Linked DNA regions of Tamandua tetradactyla. The protein of the gene in region 1 purifies or fractionates together with the protein of each later gene. This does not show direct contact. Links are inferred from orthologs where the notes say so. Each region holds a gene or a part of one and is shown on either strand. Other genes may lie near its edges.

The links.
Region 2: the proteins of NRBP1 (region 1) and TSC22D1 purify together in Homo sapiens (affinity purification with mass spectrometry; 6 studies listed by BioGRID and IntAct, with this or other methods). This does not show direct contact. The link is inferred for Tamandua tetradactyla from reciprocal best matches to the Homo sapiens genes NRBP1 and TSC22D1.

What each region holds. Positions count from the first base shown.
Region 1 is NC_135329.1:11,351,353-11,359,119, reverse strand, and holds the start of NRBP1 (nuclear receptor-binding protein), read right to left. Parts: upstream 3,036-7,767; 5' UTR 2,858-3,035; coding exon 2,788-2,857; intron 996-2,787; coding exon 766-995; intron 557-765; coding exon 434-556; intron 228-433; coding exon 126-227; intron 1-125. UniProt on the Homo sapiens protein: Required for embryonic development. Plays a role in intestinal epithelial cell fate and proliferation, thereby involved in the architectural development of the intestine potentially via the regulation of Wnt-responsive genes.
Region 2 is NC_135330.1:114,316,358-114,323,617, reverse strand, and holds the start of TSC22D1 (TSC22 domain family protein 1), read right to left. Parts: upstream 3,057-7,260; 5' UTR 2,977-3,056; intron 2,723-2,976; exon of another isoform or gene 2,522-2,722; 5' UTR 2,342-2,521; coding exon 1-2,341. UniProt on the Homo sapiens protein: Transcriptional repressor. Acts on the C-type natriuretic peptide (CNP) promoter. Acts to promote CASP3-mediated apoptosis.

The sequences.
Region 1 (7,767 bases):
CCACAGCAGCTAACTTTGGTTCTGTTTCAAAACTACCTTGTTTTAATCTCTAAATGTAAAAGAAACAATAAATGTAGCCATTCTTATTGCACTAAACTCAGGAAATACCAGGAAAGAGTTCTTACCCTGGCCTTATTCTCTTTAATGTCAGCCCAATACTTGTGAAACTTAACAATGTTGAGATGTTCCAACTGAATCAGATTATCAAATACAGCACGGACTTTTTCCTGGGAGTGAGGGAGACAATCCGATAAACAGGGTTCAGAAATCAATGTAATAATCCTGAAAAACCCATTACATCCCATTCTCTATCCCTCCCCAGTAATTATCTAACCCCAACACACTCTCCTCAGTCAGCTTTCCATTATCAATTCCACTTTAACGAAAGCTGTGTTCTAATCGCCCCAGGGCCCATCCTTTCACCATTACTTACCTCCTGTAGCTTGTAGTTCTTGCGTTCAGAGAACTGTACCTCATTCCACACAACCTCTACACCCTCCTCTGTATCCATGGCCAGGTATGCACTGTCAATACCTGGTACGTTCCGCTGATTCACCTGAGAATAAATTCAAATGAAAGGGAATTAAAATTAACTTACAAACTCTCTGATTCAATACAATTATCTTCTGCCAGCCCCCAACCTGTTGACGTTCACTCTGCCCACTTGAAAATTTTGCCCATGTGCCTTTTGGGCTCCCTCACTCCCTGCCCCAGTTCTCCTCTCTTAGTATTCATTTCTCAAGAGTGACAATACCACCACCTTACCTCTTCTCGCCTCTTCTGCCAGCGCCCACAAGGTGACTCTTCCAAGATCTCAGACTCATCTTCACTCTCTTCTTCCTCCTCTGGGGAAGCAGCCGAGGTTGTAGAGGTCACAGGAGGTGACACTGACGTCAGTCCAGGAGCTGAGGATGAGGATTCTACCTTTGGGTCTGAGCCACTGCTGAGTACTGTCTGGGACTCCCCCTCCGACATGCTGGAACCAACGCTCAGGCCTGCGTTGGTTGGAGCAAACATGGAGGAAGAAGGCAGAAAGGGTCAGGATAAATCTAAAGACTTAATCCTAGTAACTTAACCAGGGCCTCAAAGGAAAAACACATACCTTGTTTCCTTTAAACCCAAAATCAGAATTAGTCCTGTCTGAATGTTGAAACATTACACTCCTGACTTTAAACTAGAGAAGGGGAGTTACCATGGTTGAACACAACTCATGCATGAGTGGCGAACACAAGATTTAAGTGTTTTTAGTAAGGTCCAAGTGAACAATAAAATAGAGGACCCTACCCTTCTCAGCAAATACTCATTCAACAGCCTTTCCTTTCAGTTCTCTTCTGCCTCTATTTGCCCTGTGCTCAAGAACTAAGCTATATGGGCATGTTTGGAACAGTTCACTCCAGACTGCAAAATGTTCCACTCAACCAACCCTTAGGCTAGACTTGTAGTACCCCTAGCCAATTTATCCAGCTAGAACTAACAACCTTGACATTCATTATCCATCCCTCCTACACATACAACAAGGCTGCCAATCCATGATGAGGCTACCCTTGGGCCAGGTGACTGGCAATGGTTAGTGACCTCATCTCTGATGATGTCACCATACCTGTGATGTGAATGTGGCAGATGAGTATTGGTCAGCAACATTTTTTTTTCATTCATTCATTCAACAAATGTTTATTAAGCACTTACTTTGGGCCAAACACTAGGATAGGTGCTCAAGATACAACAGTGAACATATTAAACAAGATCTTCAGTCTCATGGAGCCACAAATTCAAGGCAGATCTAAGACTTTAAGCTTCTAGCTTTCATTTGATTCACACAGCTCAAAGGCTCTCACGTTTCCAATCTCTGGAATGGAATATCTCTGACATAGGTACTTCTCTTTCAAGTACAAATAACTCGAGATAGCCTTTGTAAGAAAAATTACTATACAGTATAACATTTTTTTTCAGGGACACAGTTACTTGGAAGAAGTTGCTAAGTATCACCAAATTGTCCAGAAAGTCACAAAACCACCACTGAATGTATTTCATACTCTTAAGAACAAAGGCTGTGAAGAAGTCAGAACCTGTGTGTGCTAGGTGCTCCAGTATGAAAGTAATATTCTATTGCCTCTCTTGGTCCATTTAGTCTGCCAGAAGCCTCCACATGAACACCAATCTTTCGAAAAGCCCATATTTCTCTTTAGAACTCTTGCCCATTTCTGCCCACTCCTGCCCTCAACTCACATTATTTTCAACACAAGTCAGATTTTGATTAGATAACACCAGTAAATACCAGGACACAACAAGCACTACGGAGAAACTCTGACAAGATACAGTCTTTCATCATGTTATTTTCTAGGTCCTTGCCTATTCTAGAGAGATTTCAGTCAGCCAGGAAAGCTATTAACTGCTTGCCTTAGTATACTCTACAAGAAACTGTAAGCTAGAGATCATTTTCCTTCTTCCCCTGAAAAGTAGCCAAGACAATGGAGAAGAAAGTTCATATGGGTTACTTCCTAGAGCAGCTACGTTCACTGAATGCATCTATAGAATCTGGAAGAGCTAAGTAAAATTTCCAGTAGGACTACAATAAGAAATATAAATGAAATTCAAATATAGAAAGCCTGTATCCAATGGGCTCTGAAGAAACTTCTGGACACAGGCCACAGACAACTAATTCACAGTAGGGCACAAGAGAAGCAAGCCTTCATCAGTCATAGAGACGCCCTTGGAATGAGCTTGCTCCTCCCTCCCCAAACTTCGCTTAGCTGGTAAAATGAGGGCAGTGCCGAGAACTTCACCTACTGGCAAAGAAACCTTTGCAACACCAGAAATTCTGCCTCATGGTCGCTGAGAGATTTAAAAGCGGTCGCATATGGAAAAGCTCACGTGATGCTGGGCCAGAAGTTGGCTAATAACTCGCTCAATTTACGTTCCTAAAGGGATCCTCCCGGCCACCTCCAGCCACCCCGGGCGGCAGAGCAAGTGTACTTCTGGGAAAAGTTTTTCTCGCAGACTTTCCCTGGTTGGACCGCAGCCCCTCAGCACGTCACCCCCCAGAAACGACTCGCAGGCTGCAGGCCTCCCGGCGGTCCTCACGTTGAACGGCCCAAGGAGGGCCCCTCAGACCCGCAGGTCGGTCCAGTCGGAAATGAGGCAAGCTCGGGGGAAGAAGGCCCCTTCAATTCCACACTCCAACAGGTCGGCCTGCCCGCCGTCCGGAAAGTAGCGCCCGCCTGGCCGGGCCTGGAGAGCGCGCGGCGGCCAGCTCCGCACCCGCCGCGCCCGCGGCGCCCGGAGAGGCGGAGGCCACGCCCCCCGCGCTGCCCCCGCGCTGCCCGCGCGCCCCCGCCGCGCTCTTCCCGCCGGGCCCCGCCCATCGGGCAGCCCGAGTTCCGAGCGAATGCCGGGGCCCTCCCGGCCCGCGCCGACAGAATTCTGGGCCCCCGCCGCCGCTGCCGCTGTCGGGGAGCCGGCGAGGGCCCGGAGGAGTGGGTGGGGCCCTGGCAGGCCGGCCCGGGCTCCCCAGTAAGCAGAGCCGCCTCCGAGCACCGGCCTGCCGGGCTCCAGCCGTCCCCGGCCTCGGACGCCGACCCTGCTGTGTGCTCGCCGGCCTCCCACCCGCGCCCCTCCCCACCCGCTCGCCCTCCAGGGCGCTCACCTCCGGACTCGGCGCCCCTCGGCCTGCGCTGCAGCTCGGGTTCCGGGGCCCGGGATCACAGCGACTCCCTCACAGCTGCGCTCCGCCGCGCAACCGAACTGCGGGCCCCGCCCTCGCGGCGTCCTGACCAACAGAGGGGCGGTGCCGCAGCGCCGTTAGGTTTCCATTGGCCGAGGCGGCGAGGGTGGGCGGTGCCGCGGGAGACTGCGCGTCCGAGGGTTGTCTCTGGTCGCGTCTTCTCCCCTTGAGCCGGTCCGGCCGTCACCCAGGGTTCGGCCTCCTCGGTGCCAACCCGGGCGCGTCTCTCTGTCCACTCCCCCGTTCAGTCCAGGTGCACCTGATGCTTCTGCTGGACGAAGGCCTTGCCTCTCTTCTCGAAGGCGCCATGACACTTCCAACCCGACCGAAAGACAAAAGGAGCGAAAGACGTAGCCGCAGTCCAAGTGGAGCGCTCGCCCATCTTCATTATTTGGGCAGGAGACAGTCCCCAGCACCAGTTCTTGAGAAAGCTTTTTTTAAAAAATCACAACGCATGTACACTGAAAATTAATAATTGCGTTTTGTGATTGCATAGCACTGATGTTTGCAGAAACTTTGCAGCTTTTCACAAACAGCTCATTCGATACCCGTAAGATGACATTGAAATTACTCATATCTCCAGTTCACAAATGCAAAAAACTGAATCAGAGACACTAAACTATTTACCCGAAGCTAAGTTGATAGGGGGCCAAGTCTAGAGTCTGAAACAGATTCATCAAGCCTTCCTTGAAAAGGTGACTGGAAAAAAATTTAAGATTAGCTGGAAGGAGGGGGGAAGAATGGACGGTAGATTCGAGGTGAGTCCACTGATCTGCGAAAACTAAAAGGTGGAACCTGAAGGATGGAAGCGCACACTACCGTTAGACATATGAGGAGGGAAGATGAATCGGTCATCAGAACTTGAGAATGTCATAATCGCCAAATGTCACTGTCCTTAAAAGGGAATCTCTAAACCTACTCTTCTGGGAAGAAGAAAAAAAAAAAACCGTCTCTGGCAGAAGTCTCATTTTTTCATCTCTTTACCTCAAAATATTTATTTTTAGTATATAGCCACCCTTTCATCCTTTACTTGATTCTTTTACCTTTGAAAGAAAGCTCGAGCACCCTTTTAGGAAACCTGTTGACACTTATGGGCCCTCTTTTGGATTAAAAAAAAAATGCATTTGCCCTACAAATTTAGCACACAATTTCAGGTAGCTGAGGTTAAGATTCTTTGTTCTAATCTCAAAGGAAAAGGTGCGCCTTCTTCCCAGGTTACCCTCTTCTCCTTGTGGGCTGTAAAGCTGTGAACACCTGGCCCATGGTAAGCATTCATTAAATATCACTTGATGCCATCATTATACTTTCCCATTTTCCTCTCTCTGGGACCTTAGCATTAACTTCCCTCTCAATATGACAGGAGATCATTTGGCATCTTCCAGCTCTCTTTTTAACCTGCCTTTCATGTTTAAAATGTTCACATACTTTCTTCCTACTGCCTGCATTTTCATCACCCCATTAATTGTTTTTCCTGCTTTATTTATAAGAACAGTAACGTGCTTACTGTAAAAAGTCAAAATATTTAACATAGAAACAATACTTAATATGTATATAGTAGCTTCTAAGTGCTAAGCACTGTTTTCATTGCCTTACAACTGATATTAACTCATTTAAGCCTCATCTCAATCCTATGAATTAGCAATTACCATAGAAAGTGAAAATCTTTTATAATCATACTTCCCAGAAACAATTAAGACTTGAATGTATATTTCTCCATGTTTCTTTTTCTATGAGTATAAAATTTTAAAGTAAAACCAATTTTACACTGCATAATCTTTCTCAATTTACTTTTACTTTTTTCCATGACAGCATATATAGTATTAAATTTTTAACAATTGCCAACGTTTATTTAATTAATATCTGCCAGTGGGCACTGGAGTTTATTTCCAATATTTATTATTATAAATAAAGATTTTAAAATGTTTATTGTCCTAATTGGTAAAACAAGTAACAAACAGTGGGCTTAACAATAGAAATTTATTGCTTCATGTTTTCAGAGGCTGGAAGGTATCTTCTGCCTGGCTGGCAATCTCTGGGGTTGCTTGGTTTTTCCATCACATGCCAAAGCACATGGCAGCATCTTCTCCTTTCTCTTTGGGAGAAGCTTCTAGCTGCTCCCTGTGGCTTCTTCTTCTGTGTCCAGTTTCCTTTGCTTGTCAGGACCTCAGCCATATTGGACTAAGGCCCACACTCATTCAATTTGGACAGACCTTAGCTAATATCTTCGGAGGTCCTATTTACAAGCAGGTTCATATCTACAGGACCAGGGGTCGAGACCTGAACATGATTCAGTTCCCAACAGGCTGCAATGAACTTCCTGTTACCATATATACTTTGCTCACCTGTGAAATGTTTTTTTTAATGTGAAATAAAACATATAGGGTGCATGGGTTGTTCAGTGGTAGAATGCTCACCATTCATGCTGGAGACCCAGGTTAGATTCCCAGACCATGCAGCAAAAAAAAAAAGCACTAAATTTTAAAGTACATTGTTACAAGTAGTTATAGAATGAAGGGATTTTAAATTTTGATATGGGTTGCAATTCCACAATTTCATGTTTTTCCTTTTAGCTTCTCCAAGACACGGGAGACTGAAAGAAATGTCAATATACTGATTCAGCAGTCATAATTATTAATTCCTATCTTCTCTATTATAACTCCTTCTCCTTTGATCCTTCTCCCAATCTTTAGGGATATTTGGCTATGCCCCTTCTTATGCTGAAAAGGTGTCAACAAATGGGAAAGGGGAATGGAACTAGTGGATGTTCTTGTAGAGGCTGGCCCCTCTAGGTTTCAGGATTTATCTGGCCTAGGAACCATCTGGAGGTTACAGGTTTCTGCAAACCAAACTTAGTATGTAAATCTTTTGTGGAATCTCAAGTAGAGCCCTAGGTGTGCTTCAGGGTTAACAAGAATGATATAGGTTGGGGTTTGGCAAACCGTGGTAATTAGCAATAACTAGCTGAAGCCTGTATAAGAGTAGACTCCAGAATAACCTTTTGACCCTACTTGAACTCTTTTAGTCACTGATTCCTGATTGTGTTACGTTTCTTTTCCCTCTTTTCTTCAGGAAGGGCTTTGTTGATCCCACAAAGGGCTGAACTCATCCCTGGGAGTCATGTCCCACGTTGCCAGGAGACTTCCACCCCTGGATGTCATGTCCCACATGGGGGGGAGGGCAATGATTTCACATGCAGAGTCGGGCTTAGAGAGAGAGGCCACATCTAAGCAACAATAAGTTTTCTGGAAGTAACTCGTAGGCATAATTATAGGTAGGCTTAGCTACCCAGCTATAGAAATAAGTTCATAAGGGCAAACTCAAGAGTTTGGACTATTAAGTTGGGAATCTCTAATGTTTGAGAGAGTATCAGTGGCTTCCCCAGTGGGAAAGTTTAATAGTTCCATATTTTTTCTCCAGTCCCTCAAGGGGACTTTTTAAAAAGTTATCTACCCAACATACTCGGGGATGTATCTGGGTATTACATTAAGCTATACAGAATTACAAGTCCTTGTTCCCATTATGGACTCCATGTGTTTGTATTGTTCAAATGAACAATCCAGGCAGGTTGAGTGAGATTGCGTGCTACAGAAATTTAGGTTTTGGACAAAATGAACCTCTCTTCCTTTGGTATCATACACCTAGGTGAAACTCTGTAATGCAGACAATGTCATCTTTTGCCCTGGAATTTACCTTAATCCCTACCTGTTCAGCTTCACTCTTATCTCTAATTGAAGCCTTATATCTTTTTCGGTTTCTTTAACAGTTGTTGTACGTAGCAGTCCTGACTTCAGAGCTGTGGAACTCTAGGTGTCACACAGGTACCCAAAGTTCCTGGAAAATCCCAGGTTATACACATATAGCACTGCATCTCAGAATCTAGAAATAACACAACTCCAGACTAAATGTGACTGCCATAAGAGCTTACAATCTAGGCCACAATTTTCTTATAAGTATTTTCTAAAAGAGATCATGCAATATTTGTGTTTTTGTTCCTGGCTTATTCTGCACAACATAATGTCCCCGAGGTCATTCACCTTGTTGTATAC
Region 2 (7,260 bases), on another chromosome or scaffold:
GAGGCACAGTTAACAAAGTACTCTGGGGTGCAACGACCAATTGTTGAGGAAGGCTTGAAGTACTAGTTTGAATTCCCTGAAGAATAATCCCAGTTTGAGCAGGTGGAACTACTTGTGAAGTTGGAGGAGCACCTTGCTGAATAACTGAAGGTGTGACGGGGGTGGAGGGCTGCTGCCCTGCAATAGGTATGTTTGCTTGTTGACCAATGTTTACCATCTGACTGCTAGTCGGTACAGCAGACACTGCTGTTGGAGCCTGGCCCATGGGCTGGCCAGATGCCCCTGCAGGTTGTGCTTGGACTGCTGGGGGCTGCACTGACAGCTGAACACCCTGGGGCTGAGCCACAGGGATCACTGCTCCTGCTCCCACCCCTGCAGAACTGGGCTGTCCAGAGGATACTGCCGCCTGAAGAATAGGCTGCTGTTGTACATACTCTGGAGTGGGATTTTGAGTCACTGATTTACCATGGCCTGGGGCCATCTGTGTAGGAACAGCTGGTTGCTGTTGTCCGTACTGTAACTGCTGGGGTGGTGGCCCTGGAAGGGGAGTTTGCACTGGAGGAGCCATTTGAGAATATGGCAGTTGGGGTTGAGCCAAAGTGGAAATGGAAGGCTGCTGAGCTAAAGCTGAAGTTACACCAACAACGTTAACAGGCGATGGCTGGATACCAGGTGCAGCACTGATAGTGGCTTGCAGAGGTACTGGTTGAAGACCTGGCTTTTGCGGATAGCTCAATTCTTGAGACTGTAATTGTACTTGGGAGATCTGTGACTGAGAAACACTCTGTGGTATACTTGCTGCTGAGATACTCTGTGGACCAGTGCTACTGAAATCCATCTGTTGAGGGGCCACACCTTGAGGAGCTGGTGGTGGTGGTGGCTGCTGCACCACCACGGCAGGGGCTCCCATCTCTCCACTTCCCACACTCTCCGTGTAGTGACTCAGTGTGCTGACACTACTGCTCACGGAACTCCCACTGGTGCTCTCCCTCTCAGAAGTCACCTCTGCTGGGTTCTGTTTTACCGTCTCCACTGCTTTATTTACCACCACACCTTCGGTGGCAGGTACAGTGTTTTCTTTTTCGTAGAACTCAGTGCAAGTCCACCTGCCTTTCTTAAAGGGCTCAGAACTGGTATCTAACTTAACGACCCGGAACCTGGATGTGTTGACCATCGGTTGTGGCTGCTGACTGGAAATGGGTCCCACAGCCATCCCAGCGGCCACGTTAGGGATATTACCCACAACGGAGGCAGAGACAGTTCCATTGCCCATGCCACTCAAGATATTCACATTAATGCCAGCTCCGGGCCCACCGCTCACACTAGCAGCACTGGGAATATTACTCGTACTTACATTAGCATTCCCAAGCATGCTGCTGGCCACGTTAGGATTAAAACCACCCACAGCAGGAAGGTTTACATTATTCACTGTGTTAGTGCCAGGAACAGAATGTATACCTAGACCGCCAGGAGTACTCGAAGTGCAGACATTAGTCATTACAGATGCAGGTGACCCACTTGATGATACAGCACAAGTTGGTGCAGCTGGTACAACACTGTCCGAGCTTCCAGTTGTAGAGAGTTTTCTGGCTATTGGGCTGGTGGGGGGTCCTCCAGGGATGGGTGCACCGGCCACCCCGGCGTGTGCGGGATGGTGGTGCCCGTGGTGGAGGTGGTGCCCATGACCGTGGTGGTGGTGATGGAGGTGGTGGGGGTGGGCGCTGCCATTGATCACAACATTCTGCGGTGGAAGGTGAGGCAGATGAGTCTGAGGAAGGTGGGGCTGGTTGGGAGAGACGGCCCCAGGTGTCTCGGCTTCCTGGAAGTTATTCAGAGTCTCCTCCGAAGAGCTGCGTTCTGGTTCCCCTAAATCAGTAGCCCTGGAGAGTGACACGTCAAGGATCTCGGAGGAAGACAGATCCTCCGTGTGAGATTCATCCAGGTCGTCATAGCTCTCTGTGTCCTCTGCTATACTGTTGTTCGAGCTGATGCTGGCGGAGATCTGAGCTGGAGTAACGCTTGTTATCTGGAAGCCACTTTTCTTCTTCATCTGAGTTCCGCCTGGCGCAAGAGGCTGTGCCTGCAGCTGAGCCTGCGAAAGCAGGTTCAGGCTTTGTGGGGGCGGAGGCTGTGGTCCCGACGAAGAGGCTGCAGGGGGCGGCGGCTGGAGCAGCGACGGGGGCGGCAGATCCTCGGCAGATGTGGCATGACTCCCGACGCCGGTACCTGCTGCGCTAAGCGCAGAGGCGCTGCCGCTGCCGCTACCCCTTCTCGGGAACATTGCCGGGTGCGCCATCTTCCTAGCGCTCACGTCGGCGGCGGCCTCCGGCGGCTGGTGCATTGTGTTGGGTACTGGGGGGCGGAGGAGGCAAGTGCAATTTCCGTCTGCACCGTAATCTTTGTATTCAAGACGCCGGAGAGGAAAACCGGACCCCACGCTCCGCCTGGCTCGATTCCTCCTCCTCCTCCTCCTCCTCAGCCGAAGGCACAGGCGCCGGTCGCTTCTGCCTCCGGGGGCGAGCTTCGGGAAGGGAGGACGAACGAGGGTGAACAAGGCTGCCGGGGACCCGAAGGGGGGACCCCTCAGTCCTTCGCCCTTCGCTTTCCCCTCTAGTCTCACACCCCACCCACCCCCCCTTTATATTCCCCTTCACGTGGGGTGCGGGGCAGGAGGGAGGGAGCGAGCGAGCGAGCGGGGGAGGGGAGCGGGGCTGGGGGTGAGAGGAGACCGAGGGATGCCCACCTTCCGCGGCCAAGTCGCCAACTCGGAAGCCACCTCCACCCGCTCCTCCCGCCGCGGCGCCAGCGGCGGCTGCAAAGCCCTCCCGGCCGCGCTGCACGAAGACGGCGCGGAGCGAGTCCCGCCCGCCTCTCGTCGGCGCCGCCGTCGCGGACGAGCCCCGAGCTCAGGGGCGCTCAAACCTCCCCTCCCAGTCCCGTCGCGCCCGCTCCGCCCTCCCCCCACGCCCCGCGGACCCTTTCAAACCCCCTGGGCTCGCGGCGGCTGCTCCGAGGGGAAACGCTGGCCGCGGCTGGGGCCGAGGCGGCGAGGCTGCGAGCTGAGCGGCGGCGGCGGCGGCGGGGCGCCCGGTACGGTGAGCCCGGCAACGAGGAGCGGGCGGGCGCGCAGAGGCGCCGGGTCCTCGCGGAGCGCGGCCGGGGCGCGACGGCGGCGGTGCGAGCCGGAGCCAAAGGAGCGCTCCATCACTGGCAGCCATGGAGCCCGAGCATTTTCCTCCCTCGGGGCAGGCGCCTCAGCTCGGCACGCGTCCTCGGGGAGGAAGGGGCCGGCGCCCGAGCCTCCCCAGGGGGCGGCGGGCCGTAGGCTAGCGCCGAGGGGTGCGAGCCGCTCTCGTCCTCTTCCTCCGCAGCCGGCTTGTCCTCACCCGGCTACTGCCGGACCGGGGCGGGAGAGCCCCGGGCGACGGCGGCGACTCCTTTCTCGGCAGCTTCGGTGGCCAGACGGGCTGGTGCAGCGACTGCAGCCGACGCCGCTCAAAGGAACGAGAGGTGGGGCCGCTCGGTGTTGGCCAACGGGGCGGGTGAGTGGGTGGGTGCTGAGGGAGGGGGTCGGGCGGGGGACTGAGGGGGTTGTTACTAGTGCTCTTCGGCTCCCCGGGTCTCTCGCGGCATAGGGAGAGGAGGGACCAGCGCCCGAGCGCAGGAGGAGGAGGAGGAGGGGCGACCGCCGGCTAGAGAAGGAGGCGGTGGCGGGGGAAGGGGAGGGGGCGAAGAGCGGAGAAGGAGGGAAGATGGCGTCTGCGCATGCGCCCCGGCGCCGTAGACATAAAGCCTGGTCTGGCGGGGTAGGAGGCGGCAGGTCTTCGGGCCTTGCCGGTCGCTCGGTCTTTCCGCGGAGATTGCCGAAGGCTGGCGGAGGCGCCGTCGTCGTGGGGGTGGGGGGTTGGGGAGCATCTCCGCAGAGCGAGCGAATCCGGGTCGGGCGGTGTGGGGGTGGGGCAAGGCTGGGGAGCTCGGGGGCCGCAGCTGAGCGCGCGCGCGCGCCCGCGCTGGTTAGGTGTGTCTGTTCTTTTCTCACACGCGGCCAGCGCGCGCGCTCGGGCACGCAGCCGGGGAGGGGGCGCTTCGAGGACCCGGGAGGAAGGCAGGACCATGCGCTCGGCCCGCGGAGGCTGCTGTGGTCCGGGTCCCGGGCGTGCGTGCGTGCCGCGGGTGGCGTCCCCCGCCTGCGGAATGGGTAATGAAGCTTTTCTCCGCAGCAACAGCATCACGAGTTCCAGCTCCCTGGAGCCCGCTGCCGCCACGACATGAGTCAGGCTTTCTTCCTCGGCTCGCGGCAGAGTCCTCCTCCCCCTCGCCGCACCTGGGCTCAGCCCCCGGCCCGCGCCGCCTTCGCCCCTCGGAGTTGCCTGGGGCCGTGGCTTCGGGGGCCCGGGGAGGCCAGTGGCTCCCCGCGGTGGGTGTCGCCCTTTGTGGCATGTCGTTGTAGCTACCGTGCGGTCCCATCGCTCCCCGACGGGCTGGGGCGAGCTGCGGGGCAGAGGTTGCAGAGGTTTGCAGTTAACTGCCCAAGGACCGGGGGTAGGCGCTCCTTGGAGAGGAGTGGTTGCGATCGATCCTTACCTCGAGGAAAGCAGCACCCAGCCCAGTGAACTCGCCGACCTCAACAGGTGGCGCTTATTCAACCCTTGTGCCTTTTCCATTTCATTGTCCAGGTTGTCTTACAAGACAGGGTGGCCTAGACATGGTTGAAACACGTGGAACGATAAGTGAAGAATGCCTTATAGGGGAAAAAAAGAAAAAGCCGTCTGAAACTCCCGTTTAAAGAAAAGAGTCAGCATTTCATGAGTCTAAATGTAGTTCAGAAGCAATGTCAGGTTTGATTGGACTCAATTTACTAGAAGTAGTTTGCCCGGCAGTGCATGTCAAAACATTCTCGCTCTGGGCATTTTATTTTTATTATTATTATTTTTACTACCTGTAGCTCAGGAATTTAACAACAACATGACCAAGAAAATTCAATAGATGAATTTGTTTAATTTAAGTTGTTGGGGGACCAAACATTTATGGTTAGATCTCTCATTCAGGAAACCTTACATACTCATGAGGTCCACCTTCTTATTTCAGGAGATTATTAAAATGTTAACATTGTCATCTTTTTCAGATTTTTTATAAACTTGTAGTTGAAAACTCAGCGTGTTACCTTTAGGTTTCTCTGAACTTTCCCCCTCATTCCCTCCCTCAAAAAGCTAAAATTGTCACCATTCTCTTAAGTTATTGAGTAGAAATGCACCCTTAACATCCCGTGTCTATCAGAAATCAAATACAATATCAAAGCTATGATGTATTGTTGCTTTACCTGCGGTGTCTCCCACTAAACAGAAAAGGCAGGACTATATATTTTTTTGTTTTATTTTGTTTTTGTTTTTTGCATGGGCAGGTACCGGAAATTGAACCCGGGTCTCCAGCGTGGCAGGTGAGAACAATGCCACTGAGTCACCATGGCCCACCCGGGACTCTATTTTTTTACTTTAGATTACTAATATGGAGCTCTCTGCAAGGTACAAAGTAAGGCACTCACATATATTGAAAGTGGTAAGGTGATAAATATCAAATACAATTGAGCACACCATATTTTATTTCTCGTTTTATGATAATACACTCTTGGATTAATACACGAGTGATTGTGTATTTAGATAAGTATGGCCATTTGTATTTTTAAAAAATGATCTCTTTTTTTAATCCCCCAATAGCTTTTGTTGCAAGTGATACTCCTGGTTAATGGCTGCCATCCACTGTCAACAGTTTTTGCATGGAAAATAAAAACTATCCTAACCGATTGAATCTGCAATGGAATGTAGATAGGCAGAATTCCGTTTCTTTGGACTACAGTGTGAAAGAAAATGCTCTTGATCTCTCAAAATCTTGCCTTAGGTCAAAGTTTTAAATTACCCCAAACAGCGCTCAGCACTCTGTGGGTCCCCTGAATACCTGTGTGATTGTGTGGATATGGATTGAAGCACAAAAACACAAACCGTATTAAAGTACTTACCCTAATATGGTAGAATGAATGATTTGTTGAGATAACCCTAAAGAAAACAGTACTAACCATTAGCAAAGTATATTGTCGTTGTTACTGCTTTACTTTTCCAGGATAACATAAGACTTAAGAAAATATGGTCTTTTGAAATGTATTTAATTTTTGTCTGCCTTATCACTTTCAAACCCCTGATTGGGCTGCATCAAGTCCCACTAAGACAAAATGCCACTCTCCAATTAAGGAAACCAGAGTTTGTGTATCCATGTCTTCTCTCTCTCTCTCTCTCTCTCCCTCTCTCTCTCTCCCTCTCTCTCTCTCCCTCTCTCTCTCTCCCTCTCTCTCCCTCCCTCTCTCTCCCTCCCTCTCCCTCTCTCTCTCCCTCCCTCTCTCTCTCTCCCTCTCTCTCTCTCCCTCCCTCCCTCTCTCTCTCTCTCTCTCTCTCTCTCTCTCTCTCTCTCTCTCTCTCTCTCTCTCTCTCTCTCTCCCTCTCCCTCCCTCCCTCTCTCTCTCTCCCTCTCTCTCTCCCTCCCTCCCTCCCTCTCTCTCCCCCTCCCCCCCACAGCCCTCTGTTAACATGTTACTAAAACATGTTACCATCTTTGTTGAAAAAGTTTGAATTTTTTTAATGTATTAAATGCCTACTGCTGTGTGTAAAGAAGTTTTCAATCCTTTGAACCCACTATTTAGAATTATCATTTACCTTTTGGACTGAATTTCAGTGTTTACATTGTGAAGGTGTTGCTCTCAATTACCTTTCTACTGATGAAAGGATTAGACTGTACTTCAGTGTTGATTTAAATCTAGGTATTGCCACATTGCAGATCAGACTGTATATTTGGCTATATTTAGTATTTATTCTACTATAAAATAGAAAATTTGCTGAACATTGTAGCACAATTTACCTGTTTGTGACCTGCCATATGGGTCAGTATTTAAAACTAAGTAATTCTCCAAAAGCAGTGCCAGGAAGAGCCATAAAGGAGTACCGACCCTCAGAACAGCAGTGAGTGGCAACAACTGATGTTTCCACTGAGTTATCATTCTGCAGAACCAGTGCTTCATCAGCAGTGTAACTTCTCTGTAACAATTAAGTGCCATCTGATTAAAAAAAAAAAAGGTAAGTTTTTAAACATGTCTTAGAGACGTGACAAACCCCACATTTTTACTCGAGGAAACTTAAAGGGTATTCTAGCATGTTTATAAATTAATTTGTTCTCTCAAAAAATTGTTAGAATGAGATCAGAAGTCATAGGTGTTAC